3 linked regions of the Lonchura striata genome follow. The protein of the gene in region 3 purifies or fractionates together with the protein of the main gene of each other region. This does not show direct contact. Links are inferred from orthologs where the notes say so. Each region holds a gene or a part of one and is shown on either strand. Other genes may lie near its edges.

The links. The genes of interacting proteins can lie anywhere in the genome.
Region 1: the proteins of RIOK1 (region 3) and CLNS1A purify together in Homo sapiens (affinity purification with mass spectrometry; 3 studies listed by BioGRID and IntAct, with this or other methods). This does not show direct contact. The link is inferred for Lonchura striata from reciprocal best matches to the Homo sapiens genes RIOK1 and CLNS1A.
Region 2: the proteins of RIOK1 (region 3) and COPRS purify together in Homo sapiens (affinity purification with mass spectrometry; 3 studies listed by BioGRID and IntAct, with this or other methods). This does not show direct contact. The link is inferred for Lonchura striata from reciprocal best matches to the Homo sapiens genes RIOK1 and COPRS.

The regions. Positions count from the first base shown.
Region 1 is NC_134604.1:32,435,848-32,443,709, reverse strand, and holds the start of CLNS1A (methylosome subunit pICln), read left to right. Parts: upstream 1-4,857; 5' UTR 4,858-4,940; coding exon 4,941-5,059; intron 5,060-7,603; coding exon 7,604-7,740; intron 7,741-7,862. UniProt on the Homo sapiens protein: Involved in both the assembly of spliceosomal snRNPs and the methylation of Sm proteins.
Region 2 is NC_134621.1:8,030,491-8,038,014, forward strand, and holds the start of COPRS (coordinator of PRMT5 and differentiation stimulator), read right to left. Parts: upstream 3,006-7,524; coding exon 2,921-3,005; intron 2,431-2,920; coding exon 2,179-2,430; intron 162-2,178; coding exon 1-161. Other genes in the region: UTP6 (U3 small nucleolar RNA-associated protein 6 homolog), read right to left, coding at 5,257-5,414, 5,986-6,058, 6,341-6,407, 6,490-6,599, 7,318-7,398. UniProt on the Homo sapiens protein: Histone-binding protein required for histone H4 methyltransferase activity of PRMT5.
Region 3 is NC_134603.1:93,196,195-93,203,148, forward strand, and holds the start of RIOK1 (serine/threonine-protein kinase RIO1), read right to left. Parts: upstream 3,007-6,954; 5' UTR 2,919-3,006; coding exon 2,848-2,918; intron 2,009-2,847; coding exon 1,804-2,008; intron 299-1,803; coding exon 208-298; intron 1-207. UniProt on the Homo sapiens protein: Involved in the final steps of cytoplasmic maturation of the 40S ribosomal subunit. Involved in processing of 18S-E pre-rRNA to the mature 18S rRNA. Required for the recycling of NOB1 and PNO1 from the late 40S precursor.

The DNA of each region.
Region 1 (7,862 bases), on a different chromosome or scaffold from region 3:
TTTTCCCTCCCACTGGTAATATCACGTGCATGTAAAACATGCTGCGTTAAAACTTTTTTAAATGGAAATCATGGTGGCATAGTGCTCAAAGGGTTAACTGCAGTTTATTAACAGCTAATGTTTTTAGATTTGCAGTACACAACTGTTTAAATACTGTATTCCTTGTAAATGAAGTAAGAAAAAATGTTAAGGCTGGTGCCAATATTTTTGTTAATGAATTGTTCAGCGTTGTCTCTCACTACAGTCTGGTCAGAACTCTTTGTGTATAAGCTGGGCCTGAAGCCATTTTATAGCTTGTAGGCCTAATTGTGTAACTTTTCTTTCATAATGGTTTTGTTATAATATCTACTGTCATTTCTTTCATATAAATATGACATGTAAATTGTCATAATAAAAAAAAATTGAAATAACTTGATGTACAAAGTATAATGTGTATTGCAGATACAAGTGCTTTTTAATGAGCGTTACACATGCACATACCCTTTTTAGTTTTAGAGCAAGCACTGAGTAATGGCTGCTGTGTATTGTTCCAGCCCGTGATGGTGCTACTGTCTGCCATGGGAATGGGCAACTCCTGGTTTATGTTGGTTTTGTTATGGCAGCTCAACTGACAGAACATTCCTTTCTTTGAGCAGCTCTGGCTGATGGTGGGGAAGACCTGATGGATTTGTTTTTGCAGTCACTATGGTTTTCTCTGTGTGCTCCATCTTTTTATATACTTTTTATATCTCATCTCCTAGAGATTTTGCGGTCATTTGACAAAAACCAGTGTGCCTGCAGCCAGCCCTGTACCCAGGAAGGCTGTGCCAGCAGACAGCCATGAGGTGTTCATGTGGTGCTCCTGACAGGTTCATTTATTTAGGTTGAGATGTGTAAAACTTGGAAAAGTTGGGGGAAAAAATGGAAATCTGCAGAGACACACTGAAGAAACAGATGTTCTGACACATGGCAATGGACATGGATGATTTTCAGGACTTCAACAGGAGAAAGTCAGGGAGAAATAAACAAATTGAAGAAGAGAGTGGCTTTTCTGTGTGAATTGCTGAAGCCTGTCAGTCTTTATTTTGAATGTATCTGTGGCTACAGTCAAGCTGCTGTGTGTTTTTGTGTGATGAGAAATTGTTGTGAAATTCATCCTTTTGCTCCAAATCCACTGCCAAAACTTTACACTTCCATTTTTAACAGATTCTGGGCATCTAAGTCTGAACTGGCCACCTTATGGCAGGCAGTGCTGTGGAGAGAAACAAGCTCCTCTGGATGGTGGCTCCTGCCTTCTGTGCTAAGGTGACAAGGTACCTGCTGCTCTCCATTGCCTCCGAACACAGCCCTGGTTAACTAAATCACTGTTGGACACCCAGTGTTCAGACAGCACTGGGGCTGGATCCGAATTCATTTCTTAAAGCTCTTAGAGCCGAAGGAGGGTTTTCAGGTAATGCCATTCTGTTCCATTCTAACTTAGAGGAAACATCTGCCTTCCCTCTCTAAGCTTCTCGTAGGTGCAGCACTCAGTACTCTGGTGTGAAGTGTCTGGATTGTGTAAATAAGGAAGATGTGGGTTTCTCCTCCTCTTTTAATGCCTCATCCTCAAAACCAGTTTTCTGCCTGGGCTTAAACTATCCCTTTCCCCACTTTTTTGGAAGAGTGGTGTGTCACAGAAGACTTGCATTTGCATGCAGGAAGAGAAATAAACTCCGTATTACTCCACTGCAGCAACTTCAACCAGCAGTAATCCAACCCCAACCACTCAGAAATTTTAATTTATAACAACCTAAAGTTGTTCTTTACTTTGGAGTTAACTACAAAGGTGGTGAGAACTCTCTGTGGCTGATATGACAACCACATTAGGTAAGAGGGGCTGAACATCAACAGGAGCATTGCTTTATAGCCCCTAAGTGCAGTGAATGGTATTTCCATGTATTTGGATCTCTTCCCACCAGCTGCCATAGTCTGATCTGTGTTCTTGGATGAACTGCAAATTTTTGTTTCCAGTTGACCACTTGTCTTGGTGTGGCAAACTTGAAAATTATTGATAACTTCCCCTTTTCTCATCTCCTGTTGCCTCTGTTGGTTTTTTCAAGCTATTCCAGCAGTGCTTACATATCACTTCACTGTGAAATTTGCTTTCATTTTGGTCTAGGTAATTATTTGTATGAGTAACAATTATTTGCGTTATTATTTGTGTAATTAAAATCCAAAATGGGTAGGCATGGTTGGCCAGCTTTCCAAAACATTGTCAATACCTCAGACTAAGAGAACCATGTTATGTTCTGGTCTTTGCTATCCAAGACCATAGATAGGAAAGTCCAGAGAAAGGAAAGATGGAGACCTAGTCTCATTAATTGGCTCATGTTTGTGAGAACCTGCGTTTGCACACAGGTAGCTAAATTACTCCTAAAAAGTAAATTTTAAACTGATTAAAGGGAAGGTTAACTCCCATGACAAGCTAACAACTTGCTTTTGATATGTTGCTATGGCAGGAGCATTTGCCATCCTGACAAGTAGAGAGAATGGATGTTTGCATTGATGCTGTCTCACTGATGGCATTAGCAGAAGCATCCCCTGGCAGAGATGTACTTCACTGATGCATCAGTAATCGCTGTTTCTCACTGCAGTAGCAAGAGAAATGGGGTAAATCCAGGGAAGAAGCAGGACCAGTGCTCATGAAGGGGTGGCAGCCTTCCCATCCCTGAAATGTGCTGTCCTGCAACACCGCCCGCTCGCCAGGTCCTGCAGTAGTGTCAGGTGCTGACCCCAATTCATCACTGCTGAGAAAATCAACTGGATACCCTTTAAGCAATTCAGGTACTTGTGATTTTCTTTTTCTTCTCCATGTGCATATATGAGACGTTAGGTGGTGGTCACCCACCAGAATTTCCCCTTCCAGCATCCAACAATGGTAATTGTGAATCTGCTGTATTTCTTTGTTATTGTTATCTTTCCCTCTGTCACCTGGGCAATGAGACTTACAGGTTAAAATAGGTATGGCAGAGATCAAGAAGCATTTGGAAAAAGCTCTCAAGCACAAGGTGTGATTGTTGTGGTGTCCTGTGCAGGGCTGGCAGATGGACTGGATGATCAATGTGGGTCCCTTCCAATTCAGGATACTCAATGGTTCTGTGACTGCTCTTGGTGCTGTCGATTATAGAATCTGAACGTTTTGGGTTGGAAGGGACATTAAAGACATGTTTCAACCATCTTGTTCCAAACCCCCTGCTGTGGGCAGGGACAGCTTCCACTAGATCAGATTGCTCAGAGCCCCATCCAACCTGTCCTTGAACACTTCCAGGGATGGGGCAGCCACACCTTCTCTGGGCAACCTGTGCCAGTGCCTCACCACCCTCACAGGGAAGAATTCCTTCACAGTATCTAATCTCACTCCGCCCTCTGTCAATTTGAATCTCTTTCCCCTTGTCCAAAGTCCCTCTCCAGCTTTCTTGTATCCCCTTTAGGTCCTGGAAGGAGCTGTACGGTCTCCCTGGAGCCTCCTCTTCGGAGAACATCTCTCAGCCTGTCTCCACAGCAGAGGCGCTCCAGCCCTCAGCGGTCACCTCAGCGCTGCCCTTGGCTCCTCTTTTCCACTCAAAGACGACCTCACTCGGACCCGCCCGCGGCACCCCGAGCCGCGGCCGCACCGGGCCCCGCGGAACGGGAGCGGAGCCGTGTCATCCCGGGGCGGAGCCGTGACATCCCGGGCGGAGCCGTGTCATCCCGGGGCGGAGCCGTGACATCCCGGGCGGAGCCGTGACATCCCGGGGCGGAGCCGTGACATCCCGGGGCGGAGCCGCGGCATCCCGGGGCGGAGCCGTGACATCCCGGGGCGGAGCCGTGGCGTCCCGGGCGGAGCCGTGACATCCCGGGGCGGTGCCATCGCATCCCGGGCGGAGCCGTGACATCCCGGGGCGGTGCCATCGCATCCCGGGCGGAGCCGTGACATCCCGGGCGGAGCCGTGGCGTCCCGGGGCGGAGCCGTGACATCCCGGGGCGGTGCCATGGCATCCCGGGGCGGAGCTGTGGCGTCCCGGGGCGGAGCCGTGACATCCCGGGGCGGTGCCATGGCGTCCCGGGGCGGTGCCATCGCGCCCCGGGCGGAGCCGTGGCGTCCCGGGCGGAGCCGTGGCATCCCGGGGCGGAGCCGTGACATCCCGGGGCGGAGCCGTGACATCCCGGGGCGGTGCCATGGCGTCCCGGGGCGGTGCCGTGACATCCCGGGGCGGAGCCGTGGCGTCCCGGGCGGAGCCGTGGCGTCCCGGGCGGAGCCGTGGCATCCCGGGGCGGAGCCGCGGCATCCCGGGGCGGAGCCGTGACATCCCGGGGCGGAGCCGTGGCGTCCCGGGCGGAGCCGTGACATCCCGGGGCGGTGCCATCGCATCCCGGGCGGAGCCGTGACATCCCGGGCGGAGCCGTGGCGTCCCGGGGCGGTGCCATGGCGTCCCGGGGCGGAGCCGTGGCGTCCCGGGCGGAGCCGTGGCGTCCCGGGGCGGTGCCATCGCGTCCCGGGCGGAGCCGCGGCGCCCCGGGGCGGAGCCGTGGCGTCCCGGGCGGAGCCGTGGCGTCCCGGGCGGAGCCGTGACATCCCGGGGCGGAGCCGCGGCGCCCCGGGCGGAGCCGTGGCGTCCCGGGCGGAGCCATCGCGTCCCGGGCGGAGCCGTGACATCCCGGGGCGGAGCCGTGGCGTCCCGGGCGGAGCCGTGGCGTCCCGGGCGGAGCCGTGACATCCCGGGGCGGAGCCGCGGCGCCCCGGGCGGAGCCGTGGCGTCCCGGGCGGAGCCGTGACATCCCGGGGCGGAGCCGTGACATCCCGGGGCGGAGCCGTGGCATCCCGGGGCGGAGCCATCGCGTCCCGGGCGGAGCCGCGGCGGCCCGGGCGGAACGGCATCACGGAGCGGCGCGTTCCGCTTCCGGCGGCCGCGGCGGTGCAGCAGGGCGGCGGCGGCGGCGCCATGAGCTTCCTCAAGCGCTTCCCGCCGCCGTCCGACGGCGTCCGCCACCAGCAGCCGGACACGGAGGCGCTGCTGGCGGGGCGCAGCCTGGGCTCCGGCACGCTGTACATCGCCGAGAGGTGCGGGGACACCGGGCCGGGAGCCCTCGGGCGCTGCCCCGGCCCTGAGGCCCCGGGATGTGGGGGAGGCCTCGGGGGCTGCGGGGCTCTGCGGGGCGTCCCGCGGCTCCGCTCGCTTTAAAGCAGGCAAGAGGCAGCGGTACCCGCTGGCTGGGGCATCCAGGGCCGGGCTGGATGGGGCTTGGAGCGACCTGGTCTAGTGGGAGGTGTCCCTGGCCAAGGCAGGGGCTTGGAACGACAGGGCTGTAAGGTTCCTCCCCACCAAACCGTTTTGTAAAACTCAGCATGGTGGAGAAATGTGCACTTGCAGCCCTGAAAGCCAGTTGTGTCCTGGGCCACAGCAAAAGCAGCGTGGCAGCTGGGCAAGAGAGGGAATTCTGCCCCACGGCTTTTGTGAGACTCCACCTGGAGCGCTCTATCCAGCACGGGAATCGCCAGCTAAAAGGACCTGGAAAGCTTGGAGCAAGCCCAGCAGACACCACACAGTTGATGAGGGGACTGGAGCACCTCTTCTGTGAAGACGGGCTGAGAAAGTTGTGTGGGGACCTCATGGCAACCTCCCAGTATCAGAATGGGCACGCGGGGAGGGCACAGAGGGGCTCTTTGACAGGAACTGTAGTGACAGGACAAGGAGGAATGGCTTCAGACTGAAAAAGAGCGCTAGATTGGTTTTTAGGAGAAAATTCCTTACTGTGAGCAGGGTGAGACCCTGGCACAGGTGGCCCAAAGAAACATTGCATGTCCCATTCTTGGAAGTGTTCAAGGCCAGGTTGGTTGTGGCTCCGAGCATCCTGGTGTACTGGAAGGTGTCCCTGCCCAAGGTAATGGATTGGAACTAGATGATCTTTCAGGTCTTTTCCAACCCAAACCATTCTATAATTAAAACCATGGCAACTCTCCTCTTTTAACAGGGGAGTAGACGGGGCTGGTTGGTTTCTGCTTTTAAGAACTACTCTGGTTCTGTGAAGTCTTTCATGTTGCATTAATCACATGGAGACTGTTTTTACCAGGCAGGAATTAGTCTAGTTATTCTGAAAGATGTTATCTGAGCTCTTTATGGTCTCCTTTCAGTTCTCCCTGCATTTTATAGCTCAGGGGGACAGCTTGATAATTAAAACCATGTAATTTTCTTTAACCATGGAAAAGTACTCATAATAGATTCTGTAACTGAAGAGCATTGTTGGAACAAAAACATAATTTAAAATGTGCACTTTTAAAAACCTCAGACTAGGAAACTTTTATGAAATGGCCATTATTGTTGGAGGAGCTTTTGCCCCATCAGAGCTTATTAATGCTGTGTTGGAGAGGAATCTCTCTGCATATTTGTTCACTGTTTTATTTAGTTTGGTTACAGCTACCAGGACTTCTGTTTGTGGGGTATCTGCTCTGAGGATGTATAATGTTGTGTTTCCTTGTAAGTTGCTTTCAGTAGACTTTAGTGTGAGGCGACTGCAGGTCTGCTAGTTTCCATGTATTTCAGTTGCACCACAGAGGTTTCACTAGAGTCTCTTGTTGGGATGAACAGAAAACACCAGTGTTTGCAGAAGTGCCATGGGAGAACAGGGTATCCAGGAGCATAATGTGGCTCTTGATCCATGTAGTGACTCTCCACCAGCAGCTGTAAACATTGAGGACTGGATAGTTGAGGCTAGGAAATAAACTCCTTGCTCCCACTGTACTAGCTTTTGCTCTCAGCCAGATTTTCTAATACCAGGAGTCTTCTGTGAGCTTTCCATTGGTTTTGTTCCACCACAAAAGCTTGTGAATGCTGAGTTTTGCACATGGTGGAGGTCTTGCTTTCTGGCACTGAGTATTTCTGTTCACTGTGTGACATCATTGATTACAGGCACCCAAATCTAGTTTGAGTTTGATTTCTCAGTATGTAGAAAGATGTTGATTGTTCTGATATGAAGGAGGCAGCATCCTGGGGGTGACAACCTGTGCTGTCCCATGCTGTGGTTAGGGATGACAGCAAAAATGGGGAAAGCAGAGGCTATAGCACATAAATTGTGACTGGAGGAATACCCATAACCTGGCTCTGCTGATCACAGAACTGGCTGTTTTCTGTCTACAGGCTATACCCACATCAGATCTATAATTCCCTAGGAATTATTATGTCACTGACTTGCCTTTCGGTGTTCTTTGTTTTCCTCTTTGGAAAACCACATTTAATAGCTTGAATTACAAATCATCTGAACCTCTGTAGTTGACTTTGGAATGCTAGATACCTGCAGGGAGAAGAAAATGGAGACGCAGGGAGGAAAATTCAGCATTTAGTGCAAATGAGATAAAGTTGTGATGGGTTTAGAGTTCTTAGCTTCACATTCTTTCAGCAAAGGTGTCTTTTACCTCAGCCATCAATTAATGCGGTTGCAAAGACCTGTTCAGGCAGGTCCAGGACCGTGTATGCCTGCAGAGTGGGCCAAGTGCCTTGTCCACAATTACTCATGTTTTGGGGGTGGTTTGCTTTTCTGCAAGCTTGAATCAGATACTGTCCTCCGTTAATTTCTAACTTTCTAAATTCCTCTTTTCCTCCCTCATTAGTCGCTTATCCTGGCTGGAAAACTCCGGAGTTGGCTTCTCCTTGGATTACCCCACTATAAGTTTGCACGCCGTCTCCAGGGACCCGAGTGCCTACCCAAGGGAGCATTTATACGTCATGGTGAACGCCAAGTTCGAAGGTAAGGAGTGTTGCTTGCTGCTCCCACACAGTCCTGGGTGACAGGATTTCCTCCTCAGTAGGAGGAAATGTTGGTTTTAAGTAATTGCTTGTATTTTCTTTTTTATTTTCCTGAAGGATAGT
Region 2 (7,524 bases), on a different chromosome or scaffold from region 3:
AGCATCATCAAACTGGCCCTTCTCAACTGCTCTAACTCGCGGTGGAAAAACAAAGCACGGTGCGTGGTGACAGCCTGGGTTGTAAAACCAATCCTCCTTCCATACATATGAGCCGAAAAGATTATTTTCCTCAAAGCTTCCACAGGAGAGATCGTCAGCATCTAAAGAAGATAAAATAAAAGGTTTAAACCATGGGAGATACTCAGGAAAGTAGTGGAAATAGTGTAGCAGGTTATTATGGAGGTCTATGGCATCTTCCAGTTCACTATTTTTATTTGATCTGACAGCACTTATGAATTAGACCTTTAAAAAAGCCAAACAGAAAACTGACTTTGGCAATGTCTTCATTTTAAGGAAGGTTCATGCCACACAAAACAGTTTTCCAGAAAGCTCACTGATATTCCTGGGACTTAGAATGTCTGGCACCAGCTCTTACAAGACATACAATTTTTTCCCATCTTCCCTGGGAATAAAAGACTCATGAAACTATCAATTTTATTTGCCTTCCCCCTTCCTGCTGCTTTCATAACACCATCCCAATGAGGAGTCCTCCAAACCCTCTAAGAGCTGGGTTGCTGGACAGAATGGGAGGGTGGGGTCCTGTAAAAGCTGTCTTAGAACAGTATTTCCACTAGGCTAGAATTAAGCCTAATGGGCCTGTATTTAACCAATCTAGCAAAAAATAGGTCGAAGTATTTTAACAGAAGCATAAAGATTTGCCAGCAGACACTGAGCAAAGAAAAAGCCCAGAGCATGGAGGACCCAACACAATATCCCACATGTCAGCCTTCCAGCAGCACTGCCAAACAAGTCATCACAGCAAGAGCTTAAGACACTTAAAAAGCCATGAAGTGACCAACCAAGTACATTTTCCTATTTGTAGCAGTTAACAACTCAGATGCTCGCTCGTATTTAGTATCCTTCAGAAGGACCCGAATCCAATAAACACAGCTGCCTTAGTTTGTGAGGATTTAAAGAGCTACAGGTGGGATGAGCAAGTTAAATAAAGGGGGAAAAAGAGGAACAGTTCCAGTACAAAATTCAAAACATTCCATAAATTTGACCATATAAGTGATTAAAATGAAAGCTCCGAATGGAAGAGAGGGAAAACCTCCAAAAAGGGAACAATCTTTTCCTCAAATTACCCACTGTGCAAAACCAATACTATATTTCCATTTTAAAATCAAGAGTGGTTTCACAGAAAGCATGAAAATCTTTCTCACTTTCTTCCATTACCAAACAATGGTAATGGAAATAGATGGAATTTAAATGGAAATAAATGGAATTAAAATACAAAAGTTTATTCTAATTATGAGATTAAAATGAACATATTTCCTAAGCAAAGAAAATTATCTTAATTACAAAAAGATACACATTAATGAGAAGAAAAAATGGAAATGGTGCTATTCTGCATCAAGAAAGACACAGCAGGTTATCAGCCACTGCTGGCTAAACCCCATCCCACCCGTTCTGTGCTAAGAACCAGCCTGGCCAATGGAGACTTTTTCATATGTGAGTCACCATAAAAACAAGTTACAAACTGGAGGAATAATTCAACTCTAAATGTTTGAGCGACACTCTTATTTGTTGCCACTTTTGTCCATGGGACTGGTCATGTGCACAACCACTTAGGAGGATCAAGCTTCAACAAAACCAAAGTCAAACAAACAAACAAACCAAAAAAACCACCAAAAAATAATAAAAAAAAAAACTACAGTAAACATAAGCCATACTCAGAGACTGAGCACTGTTCCAAACACCTCCATGCTCTAGAAAGACATTATAATTAACAATCTTGAATTTTCTTGAATAACTTTTACACAAAAAAGTTAGTTCCTGCATGCCATGTACCTTTCTCTTCTGCTTCAAAATAACAAAGATACACCACTGAAAACTTGCTTCACCAGAAAAACTCAGCACAAGCATGGAATTCACCTCCTTACCATGCCACTCCCTAGGAATTCAATTGCTCAAGCAAGAGTTCCATGTGAAATGCACAACACCACCTTTAAATCCTGTATTTGACAACAAAATTGTTCATTACACATCCAGGAGGTCAACATAACGAGAAATTGCTTCCCAAAATAAAACTTGGAGTTACTTAAACACATTCTCCTGCAAAGCACCTGCCTCCAACTATCCAAAACTCAAATGAAGCACAAGTAAACGTGTACTCACCGTAAGGACCACATGTAGACTCCTCCAATTCTTTATCCCAGTCCTCCACCTCATGCTCAGATGCATCCTGCTGCCCTGAAGACTCAGGCACATTAGAAACTTCACTATCCCACACATCCAGGTCAGCATATATATTGTACCAGCCCTCATTAGTAGAGCCACTGACATCATCTTCATTGGGGGAGGTAGAAGCAGATTCACTTTCTTCAGACTTGCCATCAGGAACATTTGGAATATTCTGCAGAAAACATTCTAAAACCAGTAGAAAGCACCAACAGATACATTCAGAAATTAAACAACAATTAAGAGTTCAGAGAGGTACAAAAATGCACTTTGTGACTACTACTCTTATTGTAATACATGCAGTTTCCCAGATATGTAATATCACTACAGAGGTGCTTCACATTTCAGATGATTGGAAAGAGTGGACATAGCCTTGCACCACAACACCAGCACAAATCAGGATTTTCCACAGACTCTTGTTGGAAAATAACTCTGTAAACTAGGGCAAAGGACACAACAGTCTTGTTTCATCACATTCACCTGTAGGTATTTTAAAAAAAGTTCTGTTTTTTTAAAAAAAAGTCATATTGATTAATTACTCATGTACCAAATAGCTACATGGAAATAATTTAGTGCAGTAAGTAAAGAGCATTTCCCAAGAATCACCAAAAGGTTTTCGGTAGATTTCTCAAGTAGTGCACAAGTTTCAATATTCACGACCTCCTTTGTTTTGTCCTACCTTTTCTGGGCTTCCCGATCATGGTTTCTGTCTTATTAGGAAGCTGTTCCCCCTCAGAGTTTGCAGCCCCAGAGGCGGCAGCCATCACCTACGAGACATTTTTAAAGAATGCAGTAGCAGCTCTGATTGCTCACCAAACTGCTACCCCGTGTGCTCCCGAGCGTCTCCATTTGTTCCCTTGATGAATCACAGGTTTAACAACAAACTGGCTTTCACTTCAGAAGGTGAGCCTGCAGAGCTACAGCTAATTCTGCTGCTGCCATCGCTCACCCTCAGAACAGCCCGTCTCCTCACGCACAGCCCCGGCCCACACCGTGCCCCTCCGGGAGGGCAGCACCGCGGGCAGCACAGGGGTAATCGCCACACGAGGAGTGGAGGAAGCGCCAACACTGAGCCAGCCGCCCTGCGGGACCCTCCGACAGCCCTGAGGGGCTGGACGCGATGCGTGGCGAGCAGGAGACCCTCAGCGCCTGTGCGGGAAGGGCACAGCGAGCTGCCCTCACTCCCAGCGCGACAAGGAGGCGGTGCGGGCAGGGCGCGGACCCCGGACGAGCCCTCACGGCGGCCCCGCCGCCCCCTCGCTCTCCCCGGGACCCCCGAACCTTGGGAGCGGGGCCCGCGGCCCGGCCCCGGGGCTCCATCGGCAGCGCCGGCGGGCGGGATCGCTGCGGCACCGGGCGGAGGCTGCAGGCACGGCGCGGCCGCTCCCGGCCCGGCCTCGGTGCCCGCAACGCCGCCCGCAGCGCCCCGGCTGCGGAGCCCACCGCGCCCAGCTTCGGAATCACAGACACGATTCCGACGGAAAGTCCTCCGAGATCGTCTAGTGCAACCATGGCCCAACACCGCCATCCAACCGAGGCAAATACAGGCGTAAGAGCTCTGAGAAAGCACTTTTTTACTTGTGAAGTTGTAAATAAAGTATCGATGTCTCTCATGGCTGGGCGGACTTTCCCCCTTGTCGAAAAATAACAATTTCCTTCCGGCCTCGTGGTAGCAGCATGCTCAGAACACGAAGAGACGGGAAGCACCTTGGCTGGACAGCTGTGGCAGGTTTCAAGCACGTGTGCTTGCAGGGCATGTTGCCCTGGGGAGAATGGCAAAGTTCTGTGAGGAACCAGAACAGCTGACAGAAAAGGGCCCACTTTCTGAAATGATGGAGTTACCAGCTTTGTTGGACTTTAAAACTCCAGACTTTGCACTTAAAAACTTTTAGTTGAGCAACTGACGAAGCAAGAAGTGGTTCAGAGAGGGAGTAAGAGCATAAGGGGCAGGGAGGGTGTAAGAGATTCTCAATAAGGAAATCTCAATGTCAGACAATGAGGTGGAAGCGAACTAGCAGGGATATAGGAGATGGCCTGGCTAAAAGTGTGGGAAACACAAAAGCAGAATGTACTTCAGATCTGGTAACAGAAGAATCTTACCAAACTGCTGCTCCAAACTTTATTTCCAGCTAGTTAAGTTACTGGGATTCATTGCTTGAGAGGAGCTGCAATTTCTACTTGAGTGTAAAATCAATAAATATTTCCCTGTCTTATAATTATGTCACCCTTCAGTCACTGGGAAATTGCACAAAGGAACACTTGTTTAATATTTTTGTACTTTCCCTACATTTCTCAGTTGATCATTTATGGTGATTTCTCAGGTTTGTGGCTCTGTAAACAGCCAAGGACAGCACCCTTTTAAAAAACATTACACGTTTTTTAGGCATGGTGGACAGAAAATTGGAAGTGTAGATCAGAGCTTTCCCCTCTCACCTCAAGGACATGGCTAACAGATCTCAGCTCCCCTCTACCCTTCATCACTCTCAAGATGCAAACACCAATGCAAGGGAGCTGCAGAGGCTGTTTCTTTTTGTCATGAGGATTACAGATTAGTTCTACGCTAAGAAGCAATAAACATTGTAATTTTACTGATTTCTGATTACCTAATGAAAAGTGTTCCACTTTTTATGATTCAGCTTCCTACAATAAAAATATGACCCACAGGTGTAGTTTCCATGGGGTTTGGTTTGGGTTTTTTGCATTTGGGTGCTGTAATATTAGCTTTCCAAAGTGTAAAAACTGATGCACTACAACTATCTGAATGTTTAAGCAGGATCAAAAGTTTGCTCTTTAGAAGTCTTGATGAAAACACCCTCAGGGGTTTGCTTCCTCTGACTGTGCACTTGAACCTGCCCCTGGCAGAATCAACACTAGAAAGAAATTACTGCAACAGAGAAGATGAGTCTTTTTTGTCACATAAAATGTAAAGGTAAACTTTAATAAAGTCCAGGAACGTATTTACCTTTGTACAAAGAAGTTAAAAAATGCAGTCATGTTATAACTATGTATAGTTTTTCATAAATGTCCAGTTTGTAATAAAGTGTATTTAGAAACAAAATCTTCCACCAGATCTCCCTGCAACATCTTCATAGCTCGCCAGTGAATGCTCCCACAGTTTTCTGGTTTGCCTTGGGGATGACTTAGCTCCTCCTTGATATAATCCAGCCAGAGGTCTTTAAAAGGAAAATGAAAGTTCTGTTTAGATTTTGACCAGATATTACTTAACAAGCATATCAAGACTCACTAGAAACTCTTTTTCTAAGTGTCTCTAATATTAATGCAGTACAGTTTACTTTGTAAGACTAAAATCTCTGGCACCTTGAGGAGCAAAAATCCTGGGTTCTATATTCCAACTGGAACAGTAATGTCTGAAGAAATAATGCAACAATAATTGTGCTGCGTACCTTCTTCAAATTAATACTGCAGAAATCTTGATTATAAATATATAGCTCCATACTGTTCATAAATCCAAATTTAAAATGATACACATCTCTTATGCCAGCCAGTGTCTGAATGTGATTTGCTCCTAATTGTGCTGAAGCCATCCCAGTGTCAGTGATCCTGGGATGACAGGGGAGAGGGTCCCTGCAGTGTCCTACTCTTAATGGCACAGAAGAAATAAGCTCCAATCTGCATGACAGCAAGCACAAGAGCAGAACAAACAGGTACATTTTAAAATGGGTGGGAATAAAAGAGGCAGCAGTGAATGAATGAATAAATAATAAAAACCAGAATCTCCCTCACCAGTATTTGTTGAGCCAAACTCCCTCAAGGCACGTTCATAATATTCTCTCAGATGAAGCATTCTGCAGGATTCCTAAAAAAGGAAGGTATTAAAAGGCCACTTATTTTGTACAGAAGTGAATCTGCAGCATGATTCGACTGTGACAAAGAAAGAGAGTAATGGCAATTACATGCACACACTGCTGAAGATTAGTTACTATGGAACTTGGGTTTGTATCACATCCTGTGAATCAAGTGCAGAGGACAAACATGAACTGATCACAGACTAACACCACCACTCTGCTTCCTATTTAAATCCCAGGTTAGAACTGTACTTTACAAATACAAAGCATTAATTGGATAGTCAAGAACTTACTTGCTCCTTTTCTATTTGGATCATCTTCCTGAAGAAGTCAAGTGAAAATGGACGATCTTCACACAGGCTGAAATAAAATAAGTTACTTTAGATTTAAGGACTTCTAACATATACCCTAGAATAATCAGGTTTGAAGGTATTTTTTTTACCTGGTAAAGAGTCTTTTAACTTTCTTATAACCACTATTTCTGTAAGTCCAGTCAAGGTACCTTTCTTTCATAGTCACAGATTCAGCAGGTGTTGTGGCACGTAAGGATCTCTGCAAGTTTAAAAGGAAAAAAAAAACAAAATAAACAAAAAGTAAACCTATCACATAACCTACAATTAAATAGCTCAATTAGTGCTTCTCCCTAGTTAGGCATCTGACACAAAGGAGATCTCCTAAATCTAAAACACATTTCTCCTCCAGTATTCTATATGGCTGGAACTGACATTTCCTTAAACCCCTTATTGCAAAGGGTTTCACAGTACTCTACAAACAACTGAATTCAAGCTTCCACCTGAAGTACATGTTTTATGTGGCAACTGGGAGGAAGAAACACAACCCAATAAGCCAGGCAAAGAGAAAATGTTTTGTCCTACACTACTGACGAAATCCATAGAGAGATTAAAGTCCTCATTCTGATCTTGACTTTTCTGTAACAAGACTGATGTTTTCACAAAAACTGGAAAATTCTCTTTTCTGTGCTCAGATAGGTATCTGAAAACAGAGCAAATATTCTAGACCACAAAGTAGGAGTCCATCATTGGCTGTGCTTACAAACATCCATATTCCTTAGGACATGGGAATGACACTTGTGCCTGTAAGTCTATGACCAACTGGTTTTTTTAATGCACGTAGTTTTGCTTTAAATTCTTTGACATCAATACACACATGAACAAACTTCAGGAGAAAGCATTTGTTGCATGTTCCATCCACACACATTGTTTCACGTTATTGACAAAGACATAAAAGTAGATTTCGATTAGCTAAGTACCTGGTAGAGAGCTTCAGTGTCTTCCTTGCTGTTTGTGCTCTCACTCCACTCCACCCAGAGGGTCCACAATGGCAAAGTGCCCTACAAGGTCAGCAAACAATCATAGCAGAAATACAGTGACTGACTTACAGAAACAGACAGCAACACAGCCATCAGGTTCTGTACTACCTGCCATAAAAAACAGCCTTTGGACACAGCTCTTGGAAA
Region 3 (6,954 bases):
AGTTCTGAAGGTGGAGGGGGGGGGTATGACACCCAGTTCTTGGAGACTAAAGGCAACTTCAAGTACTCAAAAGCCATTTTTAATCTCTCCGGCAATGGCTAACTCACCCATTCCAGTGAGTTCTGGCTTAACATGAGTGAAATTAGTCTGAGAATGCCACAGAGTGGCAACTGTTTAAATAATGGACAATAGTGCAATTATACTCACCTAAATTGATTTTGTGTTCAAATTTTCTTAAAACCTTGCCTGCAGGGGTTGACAGTTTTGCTGAAGAGCAATTAAGTGTCTGCCTATTTGCCTGAAATAAAGGATTTGTTAACATAAGTCATGTTCTGTACACAGCCCTTTTTAATTCAAACCATTTCATTGGAAAAGTCATCTCAAATGCCTATGCCTAAAGCTGTAAGATGAAAAGCACATGAGATATAAGGAAACAGATATGGATTAACACCAGATTTTATTTAAATCAAGAAAAGAAAATACAAGTTACACATCAGTTAAAATTCTAAAAGTCCTCCACCAGAGTAATCTTTTAGTCTAGGAAGCTACAAGTCTCTCACAGAGCACTTTTTCTGTCTGTAAAAGGAAGAGAATAGAAAATCTAAAGAAATAAAGTAAGGAAAAAATGCAGAGGTAATGAACTGAGAAAACTTTCCATGATTTTGTCTTTTCTTACATGTGGTCCTCCCCAAACACAACTAATACCTGAACATGATTTCACCATCATTGAACAGCATAAACCTCTAAATAAAGGCAATATACCACCCAGGACAAGCACTGCCAGACATGCTATGCTGTGATCAGCACCACTCTGATTCATCTCTACTGTTCTACTAAGTTGGTAGCAATAAGAAAAATGAGGTTTTGAACCTGTAGTGTCCAAGTTGATGTGAGAACTAGCATCCTTCTTTACATTCATGAGTGCTTTTTATTCTGCACAACGCCAGTGTCACCCTGCTCTTTCAAAAATTTTAAAGTTCTTTTAGAAGTTTTCTATGCCTTCTGATGTTTACATATTTCTACTGGAGTTTCTCATGCACTGTCATGTAAATAATGATTGTTTTGCATTCTTTGTGGGAAGAGAGAATTGACAGACTGTTGGTTTGACTAGTGTGGTTGGAGAGGTGGCAATTTCTTCCTCCAATCCACTGTCACTTTTGGAATTCTATATATTGCAAAGTCAGAAATAAAACTTACTTCCTCTTACTCTTTTGATCTTAGAACTGTGTATAAGTTATTTTGTGTTGTAGTGCAACATGCCAGAGTTTCTATGCCAACACCATACATGCTAAATGAATTCACTCCAAGCACCCCCAGCTCCATTTCGCATGCTTGTAGTTTTCTTCGCCTTCTTCACTATTAAGTCAAAAATAGGACTAGATTCACCCTGCATGTGATTAGCAGATAGTCTAAAAATAAATAGGCTGAGGAAGATGCTCAGAAACACAGAGGACAAATACCAAAAAGTTAGGAACATTGGTAGAGATCAGGGTGAGCAAAGAAAGAGAAGTTGAGGAAGGTAGGGAAGAGAAGGAAACTGCAGTAGAGACAGACACAGAGAATCCAGCAACAGGGTTTGAGACAAGAAAATCAAACTGAGCTCCGGCTACAATGTACATACACATACAGCACCTCAGAGGAACAGATGCAAAGGAAGGGGATTCTCTCAAGGAAAAAATTCTGAAAAAACACTGAGCTGTTTGCATCTGTACTCAGCATAACACTAACAAAAAACAAAGCCTCCGGGCTGGCCCCATTACCTCTTGGGCACCCTCAAAGCCCACAGAATGACCTCCAGCATACCTGTGGATTGCATCCACCAGCAGCATTGTGGCGCTTTGTGAGTCTTCCCACCTCATCATCCCAGTCCCAGTCTTCATCATCCTCTTCAGCATCACTGTTATCATCACCATCTCCTTCTTCAGCATTAACTTCTTCACACGTGCATAACTGGCAGCTCTCAGGGACCTCACCCTCTTTACATGATTCTGTGTCTTCCACAGAGTCACTTAAAAGAAACACAGATGTCTCTATAACTAAAAATTATTGTTACAGTCACCAAAAATTCAATACACTTATCCCCATAAATGACTAAATTTTCAGTTGGATCTTAATTCACTGAGTCCAGTTCTGAGGCCTTCTATTCAGGAAGGATATTGAGGTGCTGGATCAGGTCTAGGAAAGGGAAATTAAGCTGGTGAAGGTTCTGGAGCACAAGTCCTACGAGGAGCAACTGAGGGAGCTGAGGGTGTTTAGCCTGGAGAAGAGGAGGCTCAGGGGGGACCTGATCGCTCCCTAAAGCTGCCTGCAAGGAGGCTGTGGCCAGGTGCGGTCGGTCTCTTCTCCCAGGCAACAAGTGACAGGAAAGGAGGACACGGCCCAAAGTTGCACCAGGAGAATTTGGAAGAATTTCTCCACAGCAAGGGTGGTTAGACATTGGAATGGATTGCCCAGGGAGCTGGTGGAGTCACCGTCCCTGCAGATGTTTAAGGAAAGACTGGACTTGTTACTCAGTGCCACGGTGGTGCTGGCTCACAGCTTGGCCTCGATGATCTCTGAGGTCTTTTCCAACCTAATTGATGCTGCGATTCTGTAACGTCAATAACGTGTCACGGCTTTCTGCCAGGACAAGTGTCCGAAAGCAGCACGGGAAATGGAAAAGGGAAGCCGAGAGACACACGCAGCCTTCCCTCTCACCTCCTCCGGTAACGCGGCAGCACCACCCGCTCTCCCTTCCCCGCCGCCCAGGGCGAAGTCACATCCCGGGCAAATCCCGGGGCTGCTCCGCGCGTTCGCCTGGCCCGCAGCCCCAGCGCCCGCAGCCCCGGCCCCTCGGCGCGCCCTCACCTGTCCGAGCAGTCCGCATCGTCGAACTGCCCGGGCACGACCTGGCTCATCACCAGCGCTCGGTAATCCATGGCGGGAGCCGGGAGCCGGGAGCCGGGAGGATCCGGCAGCCGGGATGCCCGCGGGACGCAGGCGCCGGCCCGGCCGCTACGGCGCCGCCAGAGGGACAAAAGCAGCGCGGGCGAGCGCGGCCGGCACGGACCCGCCCCAGCGCCGCTTCCGCTCCCGTTCCCATTCCCGTTCCCTTTCCCATTCCCTTTCCCGATCCCGACCCCGTTCTCATTCCCGTCCGCTTGCCGGGCTCCTGCGCAGGGCGGGCCCGGAGCCGGCACACGGAGGGACTTTTACAAGGGCTTGCAGTGGGGAATGGCTTCACCCTGAAAGAGAGTAGGGTTAGATTAAATGGCGGTAAAAAGTTCTTCCATGTGAGGGTGGTGCGGCTCTGGAACAGGTGCCCAGAGGATCTGTGCATGCTCCATCCCTGGAAGTGTTCCAGGCCGGACCGGGCTCGGAGCGAGCTGGGCTAGTGGAGGTGTCCCTGTCCACGGCAGGGGGATGGAACTAAATGAACTTTAATGTCCCTTCCGACCCAAACCATTCTGGGATTCTCTGAATCCCTGGCAGCTGCCGATACGTCAACAATGAGCTGTGGCACATCTCTATAATATTCAATAATATAACCTTAAAAACAGTGCGTTTTCAAGCCCTCAATTCTTGACTGGGAATGACCATTCCTGCCACAGATTCATGGTTGTTTTCCCTAAAACACAAGTGATGATCTGTGTCCTATGCAGTAGATACTGAGAAGTTTTATTTGGTATACTCTAAAATATTAAATTCCAATCTTTATTAAAATAAAGCTCTAATTGAAGCCAAAGGAATTCCAAATTTGCAGGCCTGGCTAGAAGCATCTTAGCTCCTAACACTCCTTGCATTGAATAACATTATATTCTGTTTACATACCGACATAATGTAGGATTAGGAAAATAAAAGTGAGTGCTGGGCTTTTGCTATCTGGTACATGACTACATTTTAAAATGCAGTCTCTTTTTTGTAGATGTTTTTGCATTATCCAAGTGGTATGTATAAAAGCTATGGAAAAACTGTGATTGTGCAGAAAACATGCATGCTTGTGTAGAGACACCTTTAAAAGAGATTTAATACAATAGGTGTCATTTGCATCTGCAACACTACCATAAAATCAGTTCTTTGAGTCTCTGTGCTCATTTTCCCTAATGCACAGCCACCTACAACAGAAATTGGATTAAGATCACCTGTTTACTGATCTTTCTTTTAGAACCAGGTGTTGAAGGACTCTTAATCCATGTGGGTTAATCCATGTGCATAGATACTGTTCTACAGGATTATTTCACTCTAATAAATTATTCAGTGCTCTTAAGTAAATATGTCCATTTATTGTAATGACAAGAGACTGTTGGAAACATAATACTGCCAGAGGATTTCCACACTCATTTTTATTCCTTCAGGCTTCTGCAAAGCTTTTTTGACAGCCTTAGAGTGCAGCACACAATTTTTGTCCCAGGTTTTAAGAGCTCCTTTGGAAGCAGGCACAAACTGTTCTACAAGCAATTCATCTTCAACAGGGTAAAGGGAAACAGTCCACTAGCAATGGTGATACTTTCAGAAGGAGAATGATAAAAGTGTCAGAGATCTACCAGTTATCACCCCTAATCCATGGGAGGACAGACCTCTATCAGACCATGCATTTCCCTTGGACCACTGTAGCTCCATGTCACATGAGACTCCAAAAGAAATACTACCTCTCTTACTCTTCTTGTGGCTACATTGTTATATTTCCTGAAGACTGAGTGTAAAAAAATGTTTGTTCACACTCAAAGATGCACTAATTCTGTACTTAACATATTATGTAGGACAGGTATATATTCTGTTCACACTGAAGCTGGGAAACTGCTGAGACCATACTCAGAATCACTGGGAGAACTGCAGTGTTGCTCCTTCCTGGAAGAAGACTGACTTGAGAGGAGCATCAAGAGCTTCCTTTTCATATTTGCAGGATGAAATGTACAACTCAGTGGCAAGAAAAGATGCTGCTTGCCAGCTCTGTGAAGCAACCTGTGCTTCTGAGCCCATCTTGGAAAATCTGACAGCAGTATGTTCTTGTTGGTGAGGCTAAACGAGAGGGATTTCAAGTGCCATGTGCTAGGATGAGCAAGTTTTAGTGACATTTATCTAACACACTCCCCTCCCCTGCCAAAGTATGCCACACTGTACTTGGTGGTTCACAGTGCTGTCTGACAGAACTTTAGCTGGTGCAAAACCTGTTTAAATCAACAGACTTTGTTAGATTTTGAGGTCAGCTCTTACTGCCATGGCATGAGTGAAGCACATGAACAATATGGACTGTACAGAGCATGGAGAAACAAGAGAAGGGGGAACAAAGCATGGTCAAGGGACTGTTAGGTGATTTATACAAAAACCTATCTGAAAATGGCTATGTCCTGAGCAGTTATTACAGCAACGCAACAAGTGACCAGGATCTTCTCTGTCTCATGCAGTATGATTGATATTCCAATATTCTAGGATATATTTTCACTTTATACAAGACATTGGTTTAAATGGAATAGGCACACATATATATAAAAGAGAAATTAGCTAATATGATATTTGAATACTGCTGTGAACATTAATGTAGTTCCATCATATTTTTAATAGAGGACTCGTGATGAAAAAGGATACACACTGAGGAGGCCAAGTGATGCATTCATTAAGTTCCAAGCAAAATACCTATTTTCCTCAGCTGTATCTTCTCCATGAATATTCTCTGAAAACACTGTGGAAAACTTAATTCCTCTCAGAAAACTACAGAGTTCCAAAGTCATAGAAACACTTGTTGTAGAACCAACATACCTTTCTGCATAGTCGATTGGAAGCAGTCTTTGGGTGTGGATACATTTTTTTCCCAGAGAAGGAACCCCTAGGCAAGGAAGAACAACCACATCAAAGGAGAATGTTGGGCTGGCAAAAAGAAAACAATACTAAAAGAGAATGCAGGAGCCTGGGAGATGTTTCATTGCCAGAATAATTATCAATTAAGCCCGTTGTAGGTCCTCATGAAGAGCCATTTGCAGAAATGTGGAGTCAGTGCTGGACTGTATTATTAATGTAGCCTCCATAACAGACATGTCTCATTTTCTCCCTCAACCCTCTGTCTCTCTATTCAAGACATTCTCAGGTTTTGATACTGAGAAAAAGCTTCCTGGGGAAGATAATTTGAACTCAGCTAGCAATACTTTCTTTCCAGAAGAAGCCATGGTAAGATTCCATGGAGGCTTGAATGATGAAAATACCCTTCTCTGATAAAATTAGTAGTAGTAGTTTTTTTGCACTTATATTGCAAAATTTTATATGTAAGTGCCAGGCCTCACAGATGTATAACATAAAAGAGAAGTGCTAAGAATACCAAATGCAGGTGCTGGAGTTGTTCCTAGAATTAACTAAGTAATGAATTTAGGGAATAATGCATTTGCATTGCAGTTCCTATTCTGATTACACATTATTTAAAATTTTAATTAATATTTAAATTATGTTTAATTACAGTTATTATAAATTTAAAACTAAATTTAATTTAAAATTAAATTAAAATTCAAAATTAAAGAAGTTACAAATTACATGCTTTTGGTAGGCAGCCACTGGACAACAAACATAGCCTCCAAACAATTGGAGAGAGAATAACATGAGTATATAATCTTATTCTTTCCATGAGAACATAGTGCACATACCAGGCCTGACACAGTCAAACAGAGAAGTGAAAATAGGTATAAAGAGCAGTGGAATGCACTACAACAAAAGAGGAAGTACTCTCAGATGGTTTCCACCACTCTAAAATGCTTTTTATTTTTTTATAGTTTTCTTTTTTTTTTTTTCAGTTACAGGTGGTGTAATAAAAAAAAAAGTAAACCAAATCATTTAAATGTGGTGCATCAAACTTGGCTCCTGTTCATTGCTAAATTTATTATATATCTAGGAAATTCAGTAAAAAAAAGTATAGTCTTCTTTTGACAGACTAACTCAGTAGCATTTCAAACATGTTTTTTGCCTTCTTTCTTTGTCTTCAGTGAGTAAAAT